Linked DNA regions of Rhinolophus ferrumequinum. The protein of the gene in region 2 interacts with the protein of the main gene of each other region in a pairwise test. Links are inferred from orthologs where the notes say so. Each region holds a gene or a part of one and is shown on either strand. Other genes may lie near its edges. The genes, in order: SULT2B1 and FLACC1.

Region 1 (7,231 bases), on a different chromosome or scaffold from region 2:
GATTCATGTCCCCTGGGCTTGTCTCCTCTTTGGCTCCCCCGCTTGTAAACTGACCGTAACTATCTTTGTCCTGCCTACCTGCCTTCTAACTTTTTCCTCTTAACATTTTTATTTTGCCCTTGTTATCCCTTTTTAGTCCACTGCATACATGTATATACATACATGCATACATGTATATACAGACATGTATATACATTTATATGTATATGGAACACATATAAAATTTATAAAGCATAATTGATAAACCCCATGCACTAGAACATTCTGTGCAATGTGTCTTGCGGATGTCTCTGGGCTCCTCCTCATCTCCTGGACCTCCTCTCCACAACCACTTTCCCGAATTAAATCCTTGTCAGTTGCTTGTTTTGGGGGGGGACAGTTTTATCACATAGGCTTGTACCCTCAAAACAATATATGGCTTAGCTTTTCTTATTGGGGGAGGATAGTGTCTAAGAATTGCTTCTTACATTTGACCTTAAGAGTCACTCATGTCACTGTTGTGTAATAATGGTCCCCACAGGAATTTTCCACTGCTTATTTGGTGCCCTCAGATCCACACAGCCTCTCATTTCCTCCCAAGAGCCACTGTCCTTTTGCCCCTCCTGTGTGCCCTGCCCTTCCTCACCTGTTTTGTCATCCTGACTAATCTTTCTGCAAGCTCTAGCTCAAAGGTTGCCTTATCTCACTCCCATTCATTCCTTGACATCATTCTCAGAGACATCATTGTCCATCCCCGCCCTGAGCCGAGGACTGCAGAGGTGGTCCCCACGCTGTCCCTATCTGTGAACAGGTCGGCATCTGGGTGTCACGGGACAGGTTTGAAGCTAGAAGTGTGATCACGGTACCTACCTGTGGTGCCCAATAATCTTAAAATGTGTGAGAAGGAGTTTGCCACACAAAGGAGTGAGGTCTTCCCAGGTGAAGGAAACTTCAGGCACAAAAGCCTGAAGGTGTGTGATTCAGGCTGGAAGGGCTGTGGAAGCAGCCAGCTGGGGCCCAGGCAGTGAGGAGGGTGGGAGCAGAGCAGCAAGCCCACAGGAGGAGCAGGGCCAATAGGGGGACCGCAGTCCCTACGCCCCATTTTAAACCAGAACAGCTCCATTTTGATCTCTATGATGTAGTTCTGCTTGGGAGTAAGAATTCTCTTGGACAAAGGTACCAGTGCCTCAGAAAAGGTTTGGAAACCATTGCCGTGGGTGCTGAGGAGCCCTGGAAGGGCCTTGAGCTGGGGATGGCCAGGGGTAGATTTGCATATTAGAAAAGATTTCTCTGGGAATCCCTGCAGAGGGAACTGAATATGCAAAGGCACTGGGGCAGGGAATAGTGAGGTGTGGCCAGGGAATTTGAAGTCATGGGGTAGATGGAATGCAGGCGAGCAGGGAGATTGAGCTGGGAGCCCAGACTGCCAGGGCCTGGAGACACCTTGGGACTGGGAAGAGGGGAGGGGCAGCTCTGGGAAGGACCGGAGGCGGAAAGGTTAGGGCAAGGCTCTAGGGGCAAAGATGAGGCCTGAGCAGGGGCCACGGGAATGGAGATAGTCGGGTCATAGGAGAGTGGGGCTGGGGAGGGACAGGCTGTAGGAGGGAGAGTAAGGAAAGCACAGTGCCTGGGAATCTGACCTGGTGACTGAGATGGCGGCCCAGGAGGAGGAGTCATTCTGGGGGAGCCGCTGAGTTCAGTGAGGATGTGTGTCTGAGGGGCTAGGGAGGGAGCCCCAGAAGGGATGTTAAGGACCCTCATGAGAGGCAGGGATTCCAGGAGCTCATGGAAAAGAAAGTTTAAGGTCCTAAGGCCACCACCCAGCGGGCTGCAACCACTCAGGTCTAGAAGTATCTTATAGGTAAGGGTTATTTACCTCCATTTTTCAGGTGAGGAAACCGAGGCTGAAACCTTCCTAGAGGTGGGGAGCCAAAGAAACTGCAGAACCCAGAGGAGCTGGAGAAGAGAATGCTGGTACCTTCCTCAAGAAGAGCTGGGACCAGCCAGAGTGGTGGCCACTCTGAACCTAAGAGGCCCAGAGACACTGCGAGACTTGTCCATGTCACACAGCAATCAGAATTCAGCTGTTCCAGTCTCTGGAGTCTGGGCCACTAGGGAAGCCTCTCCGTGTCCCAGCTCCTGGGTGAGGAAGCGGAGGGGAGGGTCTGAAACAGTACAGCCTTGCTGTGTGATCTTGGGCAGGCTGCCTGCCCTCTCTGAGCCTCCTCATGCTCGTTTGTAAAATGAAGCCATGAGGAGTGGGTATCACCTATACTGTTGAGGAGATGAGAAACCACAGACTCTGGGAATCAGACAGACTGCGGTCAAATTGGCATCTGACTGCATGATCATGGTCACTTTGCCCCTTGGCCTCAGTTTCCCCATCTGGAAAGTGGGTACTATAGAAGTGTCTGATATCCTCAGGAACAAAGGAGTCACGCTCAAGAGATAGGAAGTGCTCCGTCCTAACCTCTCCTGAGAACCAAGGAGTCGGGGCCCAGTCTCCTGGCCCCCTGCCCCCTGGGGCACAGCCTCCGGCTTTGGAACTCAGCTACATCCTGCACCCCACCCATCTATGCTCTCCCATCCTCCCTCAAATGTTGCTGGTGGCACATTCTGAGCCCCTGTGAGGGAAAGCACCCCCATTTGAGGGCTTTGAGGAGAGGGGCACTGTGCCAGCCAGAAGTCTCAAGGAGGAAAAAAGTACAACATCCTTCTTGTTTCCTGAACAACTACTACACGCCAAGCCTCCTGCTCTCATCCAGTCCTACATCAGGGAGACAAATGATTTATGGGCCCCTTTGATAGACAGAGAAACTGAGGCCCCAAGAGGTACATGGACACCCCAGGCATCCCAGCTAGTGACTCAGGACAGCCCTAGTCACCTACTCCCTTCCAGGAGGGACCTGCACTCCAGGGTGGACGAGCCAGCCCAGCCCAGCCAGCCAAGTCTGGGCTGTGTCTGAGGCTGCAGGAGGCCAGGGGCCAGCTTTGCGGAGGCCCCTGGCTCTTCCCTCAGGCCACCTGCTCTGGGGGAGTCTCGCGGCCGGTGTCCACATCTGGGCCTCACCTGATTTCCGAGATGTTGTTCTCGTAGGTGTCCCACAGGGCCCGGGTCCGGGGCTCAGCGGGCCCGTCCATGGCAGGTGGGTGAGGGTGGGGAGGGGAGGACACGCAGGGAGCAGGCAGCACGGGGACCAGGTATGTGCAGCAGCAGCGTCTGCCACCTGGGGAGCCCGCCAGGAGCCTACCTCCACGCCCAAGGGGAGGGGCAGTACTCAGCCGGTTCTCCCAGCTGCTACCCACGCCTCCAACAGCGGGGAGAGGCCGAGAGGGAGCCACCCTTCTCCAAAGGTGGGGAGGAGGGGTGATGAGCACGACCTGGGCATCTTGTGAATGCGTGGGGCAGAGTCCAGGGGTTCAGCGTCAATCCTGCACTGGAGCCTTCCGGGCTGCTGGCTCTGGGCATGTTCGCGCCCACCTGAGTTTGTTCGTCGGACTAAGAAGCTAATCCTATCTCAGAGAGTTTGTTTGTTCGTTCATTCGTTCATTCATTCATTCATTCATTCACACATTCATTCATTTCTTTATTCATTCAAGAAATATTTATCGAGCGCCTCCTGTCTGCCATGCACTGGTCTAAGTGGGAACCAGACAAACAGAAACTGCCCTCGTGGGCTGACACTGTAAGGGGCACACGTAGAAACACACTGAGAGAGACAGAAACAGCCAGACTGAGACAGTGAGAAACATGGCGAGACCAAGAGAGAACAGAGACACACAGAGACAGAGATATGCGGAGGATCAGAGATAGGGAGACAGAGGCACTTTGACAGGGTCAGAGACAGTGAGAGACACAGAGAGACAGAGACACAAAGACAGAGACATCGAGAAGCCAAGGGAAAAACAGGGAAACACAGGGGGTCAGAGATAGTGAGAGATCCAGAGATACAACAGATACTCGCCAGACATGGTTGGTATGGGAGTTTGAAGGTCACAGCGCCTGGTTTGATCTCTGCTCCAGTACCTTTCAGCTGTGGCTCCTAGAGCCAGTCCCATCAGCCCTCTGTGCCTCGGTTTCCCCACCTGTGAGTGGTATTCATGTCACCGGGCTGCTGTGACGACTGGGTGAGACATTTCTCGAGTGGTAGGCTCAGTAAAGCCAGTGTCCCCTTCAGCTCTATCCCCCCAAACCCTCTGGTGTCCTGACCCTCAGAGATCTGGAGTCTGGCCACAAAACCCAATCTCCTCACCAGAAGTGACTTCTTTTTAAAGGAATGTGTGTACTTTATTCAAAAATATATCTGAACAGATAAGTCTAGAACTAAAATAAGGATCCCTGTGATCCTCCTACCCACGGAGGTAACCACCATCAACATTTTGGTGGACTCTTTCTAAAAATTTCTCATTTTTCTAGTATATTGTGCCAGAGAAAATTTGGTTGGAAGAATAAGTGCAAAAATAGAACACCAGAACACCCCGTAAGAGTGTAGAGGAGGGTGTTGAAGGGACAAGGCGGGCCTGGAGGCTGTGTCTGACTGGGGCGGGACCAGCCAAACACGGGGACCCAGGGACCCAGAAAACGCTCCCATCTCAGGCCTTTGCACCTGCTGTTGCTTGTCCGATGTGCTTTTCCCCAGGCACCTGGGGGCTTCACTGCCTCCCTTCATCCAAGCCTGCCCTGTCACCCCTCCTCTGAGTCCTCCCACCAACGTCTCCGTCCCCCTCTCCTGTTGTCCTTTTGTCCATAACACTCATCACCATCCAACACTCTACATATTTTCCTTCTTGGTCTTGTCGACCGTTTGTCTCCTCGTCAGATTGTCAGCCCCATGAAGACGGGCCTTATGATGTTTGTCCCCTGTTGGCTCCTGAGGGCTGTGCCCGGAGGAGTCCCCAGAAAGCAGGACATGTTCAATGAATGCTGCCGGTGGAATGAACGAATCGTCACAGGGTGATGGGGAATGAGTGGCTGGGTCACTGCAGTGCGTGGAGGACTCAGTTAAATCTCTTCAGAAAATGGAGGTCCGGGATGGGGAGATGCAAGGCCTGGTTGCAGAGGGCAAGGGGCCCAGAAGACACCAGAGTAGCATCTTATCCAATGACAGAGAGGAGAGATAGTGATGGGGACCACTGATTCCACAGAAATAAACCCGGGGACTTAGGCATATGGGAAACAGGGAAGAGACTTGGAGGGGGATGGGAAGAAGAAAGTGGGAAACAGTGCCAGCTGGTGGGAGTAGTGGGAGGAGCAGCGATTATACATCCATCCCTCTATCATCCGTCATCCATCCATCCATCCGTCATGCATCCATCCATCATCCATCCACACATCCTTCCATCTATTCATCATCTCTCCCTCCCTTCCTTCCTTCCTTCCTCCCTCCCTCACTCCCTCCCTTCAATCTTTCTTTCCTTCTATCCATCCCTCCCTCTGACTATTATCTGAGAAGACTTCCTCTGGGTCAGGATCTACTGTGTCCCCAAATGAGATGGGTAAGTAAACACAGTTTAGAACTGTGCTGTCCGATACAGGAGCCGCTGGCTACACCTGGCTATTTAGCATTAGAAATGTGGTGCATGTGATCGAGGCAGTGAACGTTTCCAATTTTATTTCACTTTTTTAATTTCAATTTAACTTTAAAATCAGAAACAGTATAAAACACTTTACTCTTTTTTTAAAGAATTTTTATTTTATTGTATTGGGGAATATTGGGAACAGTGTGTTTCTCCAGGGCCCATCAGCTCCAAGTCATCCTTCAATCTAGCCATGGAGGGCGTAGCTCAGCTCTAAGTCCAGTCGCTGTTTTCAATCTTTAGTTGCAGAGGGTGCAACCCATTATCCCATGCGGGAATTGAACTGGCAACCGGGCTCGCACTCCAGCTGCCCGTCTGGAAGCTCAGCTACAGCTCATTGTCTTCAATCTAGTTGTGGAGGGTGCAGCTCACTGGCCCATGTAGGAATCGAACTGGCAGCCCTGTTGTTCAGGGCTCGAGCTCTAACCCACTGAGCCATCCGGCCAGCCCGTAAAATGCTTTACTCTTAATGCATGTTAATGGTTTGGTAAGACTTCATTTCAATTTAACTCTTGGGACCCGAGTGTCAGAATTGAGATAAAACATGTAAAGTATCTCACGAGTAAGTTTTATATTGATTACATATTGAAATTATGATATTTGGACATATTGGATTAAATAAAACATATTCCTAAAATTAGTGTCACCTGTTTCTCTTTACTTTTTTAAAAAAATGTGCTACTGGAAAGTTTAAGATGACACACGTGGCTAAGTATTGGTTGATTTGACCTTGCTAGACTGGGTCTGCTTGGTGTCCTGCCTGTAGACATGGGGCCTCCTTGGGAGGTCACAGCAGGGATGCCCCAGAAGGGGAAACTCACCAGGTGAAGGACCTAAGTGGAGAAAGCCTCTGGGAAGGCCTGGTGTAGGCAAAGGCCTAGAGGCTGGAGAGACAGAAAGGCAGTATTTCCTCCAGGCCAAAGGGGGCGCATCTGGAGATAGGGGGCTATTTTTGGGCCCTGGGGTGGGGGCTCACATCCACCCTTGGGGGCTTAAGGGTAGCAGGGTACAGTGCCAGGTAAGGATGGGGGCTGGGCTGCCCTGTGCCCCAGGAAGCCCCCAGGAAGATGAACACATCGCCTGTATGTGCTACTAACCATGAGGGGGTCCCACTTGCACCTCAAACTTCAGGGGCTGAATGTGAAAGGGGAGCAGGAATTGGTCTCCCTGGCCAGGCTGAGTGCAGAGAGCAGAGATGGAGAACTCTCAAGCATACCCCTCTGCCCTGGGCCCCTCATATCAATTCTTTGGCCTCTCTCCAGCACCCCCCAACCGGGCTCCAGGGAACCCCAGGTATGCTATTTTGCTCTTGGAGATCAGATATGGGCAATGGGAGGTCACTGGGTCACAAGGTCATGTTTCCACAGAATCGGGGCCATTGTCACCTCTAGAGCCCGACCTTTCCGTTAAAAGCTAATAATTGCCAGGAATTCTGGGATTGCTGAGGACGGGCCAGCTCTGGCTGCTTAGAGGCTGGGTTCCCGAGAGGGCAGAGGCTGGGGGCAGGGCTCCTAAATCCTGGAGTCTGGAACGAAGAATCTGAATGGAGTGGAAAGGGACCCAGAGTGCTCCTCTGAGAGAGGACAGGCCTAGGGCCTGGACTCCTGGGTCTGAGGGAGGAGGGGCTGGGGGCCTGGACTCCTGGGTCTGAGGGAGGAGGGGCCGGGGACCTGGA
Region 2 (7,948 bases):
GAAGCAGATCGGGTGGAACATCCTAGGTGAGAAGACAATGCCACAGGGGCTAGAATTCAGGTGAGAATCTGAAAGGAGACGGCAGCAATAGCAAGATAGTTTTGCTTCTGCTTAGGATCTTGTATCAGCTTCCAGTGAAGACAGGGTCCAATCCAGAACTCAGGGGAGTTAGCAGGAGGCCCTGAGGCAGGAAGTGATCAGCTAGGGCAGGCCAGCTCCCAGAAACTGCCTTCCCTCTTACATTTCTTGCCTGCCCATCCGGACTGTGCCATTCCTGAAGGCCTGGACTTCACCATGTCATTCTCTGTGCCCTCCACCCCCTGCCAGAACCTGGCAAGGCAACTTGTTTACAATGAGTATTTGATAAATATTTGTTGCCTGACTAATAAAGTGGGTGGCTGTAACCACAGGAACCAGTTCAACAAGGAGAAAAGAGATCCACAGATGAAATTGCAAAAATGTAACGGTCACTACAATATCATAGATAATATTAAAAGTTAGAATTAAAAAACCAAAATTCATAGGTAAATTATGGCACAACCACTCGATGGAGTTTTACATAGATTTTTAACTGCCCACTTTAAAACCTGTAGAAACATGAAGAAATGTTTATAAAAAAAGATATAAAATGGTATGTATGCAATGGATACAATTATGTAGAAATATGTACCTATACAGAAAAGGATTAGAAAAGAATATATTAAAAAATGAAAAGTGGGCCAGAATGTCAATATTATTTTTTTTTTCCTGTACAATATTCTTTACTAAAATTTCCCTTGGGCTTTTGGGTCAGATGGGCATGACTGCATAGAGGCTCCTCTGCTTACCAGCTGTGTGACCTCAACAAATTTACTGTTACTTTCCTGAGTCTCAGTTTCCTCATCTGGAAAATGGGAACATGAGAGTTTACCCCTCATTGGGCTAAACTCATTTCATGCACATGAAACGAGACCATGTCAGGAAAGCTCTTGGCATACTGTCTTGCACACATTAGGTTCTCAAAAACTGGTAACTGAGTTAGGAATATTATGAACCCCAATGGTATTTTGTTTACAGAAGCTTTTATTTCTAAGTTTTTGGGGAGAATAGGTTTATTCATGTGTGTGTGTTAAATTGAAATAGGATCATTGTAAAGAAAATTATAGCACAGAAAAACCTAAGGAAGTAAAAATTATCCAAAATACTAAACATCTAGAAATGACCACTGAAAATATTTTGGTTAATGTCTTCTAGAATTCTCTCTAAAGAAACAGTTTTATATAACTGTCCATAAACAGAAACAAACTCTACTTATATTGTAGATAATCTTTTTTCAATAATGTCCTGAGCTTCTTTTAATGTCAGTAACTATACATATAATCATCAGTTTTTAAACTTAAGTTTACTGTGGAGAAAATTTTTAAATGTACAAAAGCAGAGAAAAGAGTATAATGAGCTCACCCACCATCTAGCTTCAACAGGTAGCAATTTGTGGCTAATCTCATTCATCTATACCCAGCCCACTCCTCCAACATCAGATTATTTTAAAGTAAATTTAAAGCAAATGTGTAACTTAAGTTATACTTAAAGCAAATCTTTAAAGCAAGTCTGAGATTTGCTCCTATATCATCATAGCTATAAATTTCTATTCAATGAATGTACCTGTTTACAATTTTAATCAGTTTTGTATTGATGAACATTTTGTTTTTTCCTTTCTTTCTGTTATAAACAATGCTGTGGCATATATTCTTTTGCTCTTAAAAAGTGAAGGCCTCTTCTTCCAAACCCCCATGGAGGTGATACTCAAAATATTTAATAACCAGTAAGACAATCAGAATATATATGGGCTACAAGGCTGGATCAGGGGAACTGGAGGACCCCACTCCTACCCTCATGCCAGCATTAACCCCTGAGTTGCTGAATCATGAGGAAGTCTGGGGGTACCAGAGGAGGAGGTGAGGGGCTTGGACAATGTATACTTGTATACACACAACCAGTATGGTACTATTTCAATATTTCAATAATTGTGCATAATACTAACTAAACATCAGCCCTCAATTTCCAGTACTCTCCCAAGAGGAAACCACTGTTAAGTTGTTTGGGATATCCTTCCAGAAGTGTTCTCTCTATATATATACATGAAGATTTTATATACATCTTGTATGTATATACAAGATATATACATACATGAGAGCATACTTTACACACCATGCCATGCCTTGCTCTTTTTACATAACAGGATATTTAGTAGGTATTTCTACATCAGCATAGACACATCTACTGCATTCACAGTGGCTTGATGTTGCATTGCATGACTCTAAGCATACAGAAGTGTGTGTGTGTGTGTGTATGTACGTGCACGCGTGTGCACATGCGTGTGTGATTTAGGATTCTTTCTCCCCATTCTTTGCCGTTCCTGCATCGCTCCCTAATGACTTTGCCCGAGGCTCAGTGGACTGAATGTGCCACCTTGTGACACCAGGCAGCGGAGCCTTCAGAAAGGTCACTGGTTAGTATTAATAATCAAAAGAAAAAAAATTATATAGAACATCTTTTCCAAAGAGCTTACCTTGGACTGTCCAAAGATTTGTTTCTCCCATGTGGTTCTTTCCCAAGTCGAGAGTCTTAAAGACACCACAATGTTATAGAGAAACTGTTTCCCATCGAGACAGAATCAGAATTCATTGTAGGTTAAATCCAGAGGTTCCAGAACTCAAGAGTTTAGTGGTCATTCCAATGCCAAAGCAGAAAAATGCAGAGTATGTGTAGTGCAGAGAGACAGACTTCCAGTGAATCCAGGCACTGGCGTTTACAAAGGTTGAACTGGCACGAGCGCAAATGTCCCTTCTAAAGACGATTCAGTCTGAGTCTTCCGAAATTGCAATGAAAGTCAAACTAGGGGAGAAAGTCACCCCTCCATTCAGATTCCCTTGACTTGGGCCTTGAGTTGTCCTTGAGGTTTGGCCAGAGGAGGTGGCAGGCCGACGTTTGTTTCTTTTATTGCTATGGAAACAGAATGGCAGCACCTGACTTGCTCAGGCACTCTGCTCTTAAAGAAAAAAGGCTGGAGCAGCAGCCAGTTAAGAAATTCTCCAAGACATGAGACAAAATACACTGATGAATACTTTCAGAGGAAATTAAACAGCACTCTTAGGCTTAACTGGCCCATGGCAGCAGTTACCAGACAGGATCTGTGATGGATTTAAGCTCCTCTGACGTTTGCTCACAGACACCTAAAACTCTAAAGTAGCCACTTTCTTCCTTGAATTTCAAGCTTCGAAATCTGTAGAAGTACAAATCCCCCAGGGCAGGAGTCTTTTTCAGGTGCCAGGAAATCAGATTTTTTCCCCCCCAAGTAAAGCTACTTTTTCTCATTAAAGAAAAAAATGCCTGCTTATTATAGACCAGCGGCTTTCCTTTTATTTTATTGCAACTCACTATAAGAAGTATATTTTACACATTTTGAAATAAAAAGTTGTATGAAATAATACCCTTATTACTAATTCTCATCTGATTCTTTTTCTTCCACCTAAAATGAAAGCTGATTATAAATCCACTAGATTGATTTCATTATCCACTGATGGTTCACAACCCATAGTTTACAAACCATTGTTATAAATGTATGCATTCATTCTACTCCACATTTATTATCGACTGTGTGCCAGGCACTTTTGTGAGGCACCTCAATTCCTGTGGTCCATAGAGGGGAGACAATAAATTCAGTAAAAGCACAATGAAACTTAGCGGATGCCGTGTGAGTGTACAGCAGGGAGTCTCTTCTAGTCTGATGAGTCAGACAACAGCTTTAATCAGAGAAGGAACCTGACTAGCTCTGCATGCTAGAGAAATCATTTTGACTGCAATGTAGAGAAACACTGGAGGGGCCGAGACAAGAGGCAGGGAAACCAGTTAGGAGTCTACGGCAGGGGTCAAAGGAGACACAATTGTGGCCTCAACTGAGGGAACAGCAGTGGGATGGAGAGCAGAGGATGCAACAGGACTTGACTGATTGGATCCCAGGTTGAGGGAAAGGAGGCAATGATGAGTCCTGGGTTTCTAGCTCAAGCATTTGAGTAGATGGCGGTGCCATTTATTGAGATGGGAAAGTCTGCGGGATAAAAAGGCCCAGGGGAGCAGATTCTGACTTCAGGCTTGGATATGTTGAGTTTGAGATGCCAGGGAGACATTGAAATGTGATGTCTATTACAGAGTTTATTACATGTTTTGGGAATTCAAAGGAGTCTGGGCTGAAAACACTTTAGGAGTCTCCGAGTAGATAATATTTAAAGCTAAGGGATGAGCTCACACCGGGAAAGAGTGTTATGTAAGAAGAGGTGTCTACAACAGAGCCCGGAGAAGCCCAATATTTACGACAGTATTTCTCAATGTGTAAGTTAAAATATGTACAACTATCACTTGAATGAAAGTCCTTAAACCAAAGAGGTTCCTTAATTTCATGAAATATAAAACATGGAGGTGGTGCTACCAGTTAATGCAGTTTCAGCAATGTCATTGGAGAGCTGGGTTCTTTAAGTGATTCTGTCATGCCAGCCTGTGTGTCGCCTGAGGGGAGCCTAGTGGTTGCACTATGGCTGCCACAACCACAAGTACCATTAGCACGCTAGATGGAGACAGACTTCAAAAGCTAAAAGGGAGGGAAAAAAGGTTTAAAGAGAACAATGGATAGATTTGAGTAGTCATCCACTAGCGATTGGATATTTTCTCTGAATCTGTTTATTGTGTGAAATTTTATATTAAAATGCTTCCTTATGATTTAAAAAGAGCAGGATTTGGGTCTTGTGTGTAGAGTGGTTAAAACCAAAGATACAAAGGAAGGAGCCAGTTGACTTGGCCAAGGTTTAACACGAATTACCACTACTTTGGGATGTTTTTCTTCCTTTCCTCTGTCTAAACATTAGTACAACTTTGTCAGCTCCAAAATGGTGGAGGGGAAGGAAATGAAGGCTTCTGGGACTAAGAGTTAACTGCTCTTCTCTTTGGTTGAATTTAGGGGAACTTGGGCATTGCATGAAAGGCTCTTTCCAAAGACCCAGGAAAGGGACTGATGCTACCAATATTAGTGATTTTGCCGAGAAGGCAAGAAAAATACATTTAATGAAATAATCCTTTGATTTTTATATATTGGCTCTTCTGTATTTTTCCCTAACATCTCACATCACCTTCGGTGTGCTTTCCTCATACTTTCTCACACTGAAGAACAAAACACTTCATGCTATTGTTGGCAACACTGCCTGCCAGGCCAAGTTATATTTCAACATCTTTGTCAAACCTGCACGGCAACATTTGTTCATTTGAAAATTTTATGGCCCTTATTTGGCCTTTATTTCAAAAACAAAAACAAAAAAACACTAATGAAAATCAAAGCTTGATACTAGTATAACTCAAACTTAATAAAAACAGAGATGGAAATTAATAGGATGCTGAAAGCATCAAATCTTTCCTCTCGTCTGGTTTTTGGACTTAAACACATCTACTGTAATGGTTTGTGAAAGAAACAATTCAAAATGCTGGAAATACCATTAAATTTCATATCAAACAAGTACATACTCACACTTCACCTATTCCTCACAAAATATTTATAATTCTAAATGGATATTAGATGAATTTAAAAAACACAGCAACTAAACTGTGATGAAGATGAGAATATCAAATAACTTTCTCTACCAGAGTCCAACAATTTTTAAATTTAGTTTCTTGGAAACAGTTTCTAAATAGCTAACAATATCAACAGTATATTGTGGACTGTAAGAATGAAGAATTGCTTCACATTTCCTAAATACTTTCAAATTAAACATCTGCATATCAGTGACTTCAGATTTTACTTTTTGTTGCTGTTACTTTGCTAAGGAAGAAATACGGCATATATAGATACTCTGTCTATTCTGTGTTTTAAACAAATATCTAAGAAATACAATAAGATCTACTACGTACCACTACTGCTGGGTTTGTTTTGGGTTGGTTTGACAAATATAGGTTGTTTTCTGTACCCAAGACGACAAAATAAAATGGAAAGACTTAATGCAGGACTATTTATGAAAAGAACTGGGACAAATACACAGGAAGACAAATGAAAATTTAAGAAGATACTCATATTTATTATCTGATTTACATTTGACAAAGCAAAGGTAGGTGCAACAAAGAGCTGTTTGACAAAATCAACCGCAGATATCAAACAGGATTTCCTTGGCTGCCCCACAGGGTAGCTGTGCTCTGCAACGCAAGCGCTCAGTTGTAGACACAGTCTGTGGCACTTGGAGTACAAGCCTGCAGGCATCTGACATCAAAGGAGCAGACCATTAGACACTCAGAGCTCTAGTTCCAGATGTCAAAACTCAATGTTAGTAACCAACAAGTAGTACAAATTATGTACTAGAATGGTCAGAAAAAGTAACAGGTTTTGAATACTGTATAAAATACACCCTGGAAAATGCTCTTGGGAGCTGTCTCTAACTTATTTCCTTTCTTTGCCAAAGTCTGTTCATTCATGTCAAACAAAGGACATAGAGTACAAATCCTTTTTTAAAAACTACTTTAACAATCGTTATTAACTTCTCCCTAAGACACATGCCTAAGGTTATTTACATAAGATTTGGGATCATCATAATTCAGGAGTACCTTTAATTCTGAGCTTACAAAGGTATCCTTCCTATTATATAATAGGATACTCAGAAATACCTGAGGTATAATCACTGAAAACTTTGAAGGAGAAAAAGATTGGAGTTTCCTATACTCGCATAAAAATACGTATACAGTTGATATAGAAAAACTACAATGTGAATAGTGTTAAAGCATAACAGGTAAAAGGAGGAGGAACTTACTACAAGGCTCCAGTTCTTCTGACTATAGTTTGCACACAAGTTTGTTATAATAAAGATTCTCAGGCTGTATCAAAAATGATTTTAGGTGGAAACTTCAAAAACCAGCAAAACCCAATTCAAAACAGGATTCATTTCTAGAGAAAAGCGTGCACCAGTATCCAATTCTGCTTCCGGTGGAACAGCAACATAAATCTAATTTTCAAAAACCTAAGTCTGCTTCTCTTTAATCAGATGGGTTTATTTGGCTATGAATACGCCCTGGCCAGGCCTCTAAAGTGGTCATTTTAGCATCGTTACAGAAAAGTATGCTAATTAGACAGAGTACTAGCTTAATTTAAATAACAGATATAAATCTGACAATTTAACACTTTGTACTCCTCTCTAGCCCTGTATTTTCCTACTTCCTGATGTCTCTTAGAAACTGGCAACAGGAAGATTACTTTCTTAAGAGAATAAATAAAAAGCTTTAAGATATCGGCCAAAATAAGCACCCCAGAATTACTTTATGAAGTAGAAACTCAAACACTATTTAAAAAAGAAGCGAATTGGGATATTTTGGAAACAATATAACATCAGGAATTCTCCGGCCAATGCCTACCACATTCAGGGACATTTACATTCAGCGGGAATCCTTTTTGAACACGTATGTGTAAGGTCTGCTGTACTCGGCATGACGGAGAGAAGGGGAGCGAGGGGAAGGATACTTTCACTTTCTGTTTTTAAGAAACTGACTTTAAAAAGTTTTATTAAAAGACTCAAAAAGCATGGAAAACTCACACATTCTTCCCACAGCATGCATGTTGTTTTTCTGCCCTTTTGAGCACATAGTTCTTGAAAGGCACCTCAGGAGGAGAGAAGAATAAGTGCATCGGTGGGAACCATAGGAGCAAGACTCTTTAAGAATTCTTCAGAAAATTCCTTTCAGTTAAGTCAGTACAAAGGAGCAAAAGATGTGCAAATTAAGCACCAAAAAGTCAAGTAATATGCCTCTCATTTTCAAAGATAAAATAATTACCTCCCTCCCTCATCTTCTCTCCATCATGCCTTTCATATAATGGTATTTCTTTCTGAACTGCCCTGTCTAGATAAAGCTTGTCATTGGATGAGGAGCAGACCGATTGATCAGCAAC

What was found.
Region 1: the proteins of FLACC1 (region 2) and SULT2B1 interact in binary tests that used the Homo sapiens proteins (3 or more experiments, as listed by UniProt). The two-hybrid records come from large-scale screens. The link is inferred for Rhinolophus ferrumequinum from reciprocal best matches to the Homo sapiens genes FLACC1 and SULT2B1.

The regions. Positions count from the first base shown.
Region 1 is NC_046298.1:44,070,583-44,077,813, reverse strand, and holds the start of SULT2B1 (sulfotransferase 2B1), read right to left. Parts: upstream 3,253-7,231; 5' UTR 3,121-3,252; coding exon 3,050-3,120; intron 1-3,049. UniProt on the Homo sapiens protein: Sulfotransferase that utilizes 3'-phospho-5'-adenylyl sulfate (PAPS) as sulfonate donor to catalyze the sulfate conjugation. Responsible for the sulfation of cholesterol.
Region 2 is NC_046291.1:30,025,325-30,033,272, reverse strand, and holds the start of FLACC1 (flagellum-associated coiled-coil domain-containing protein 1), read right to left. Parts: upstream 3,064-7,948; 5' UTR 2,549-3,063; intron 1-2,548.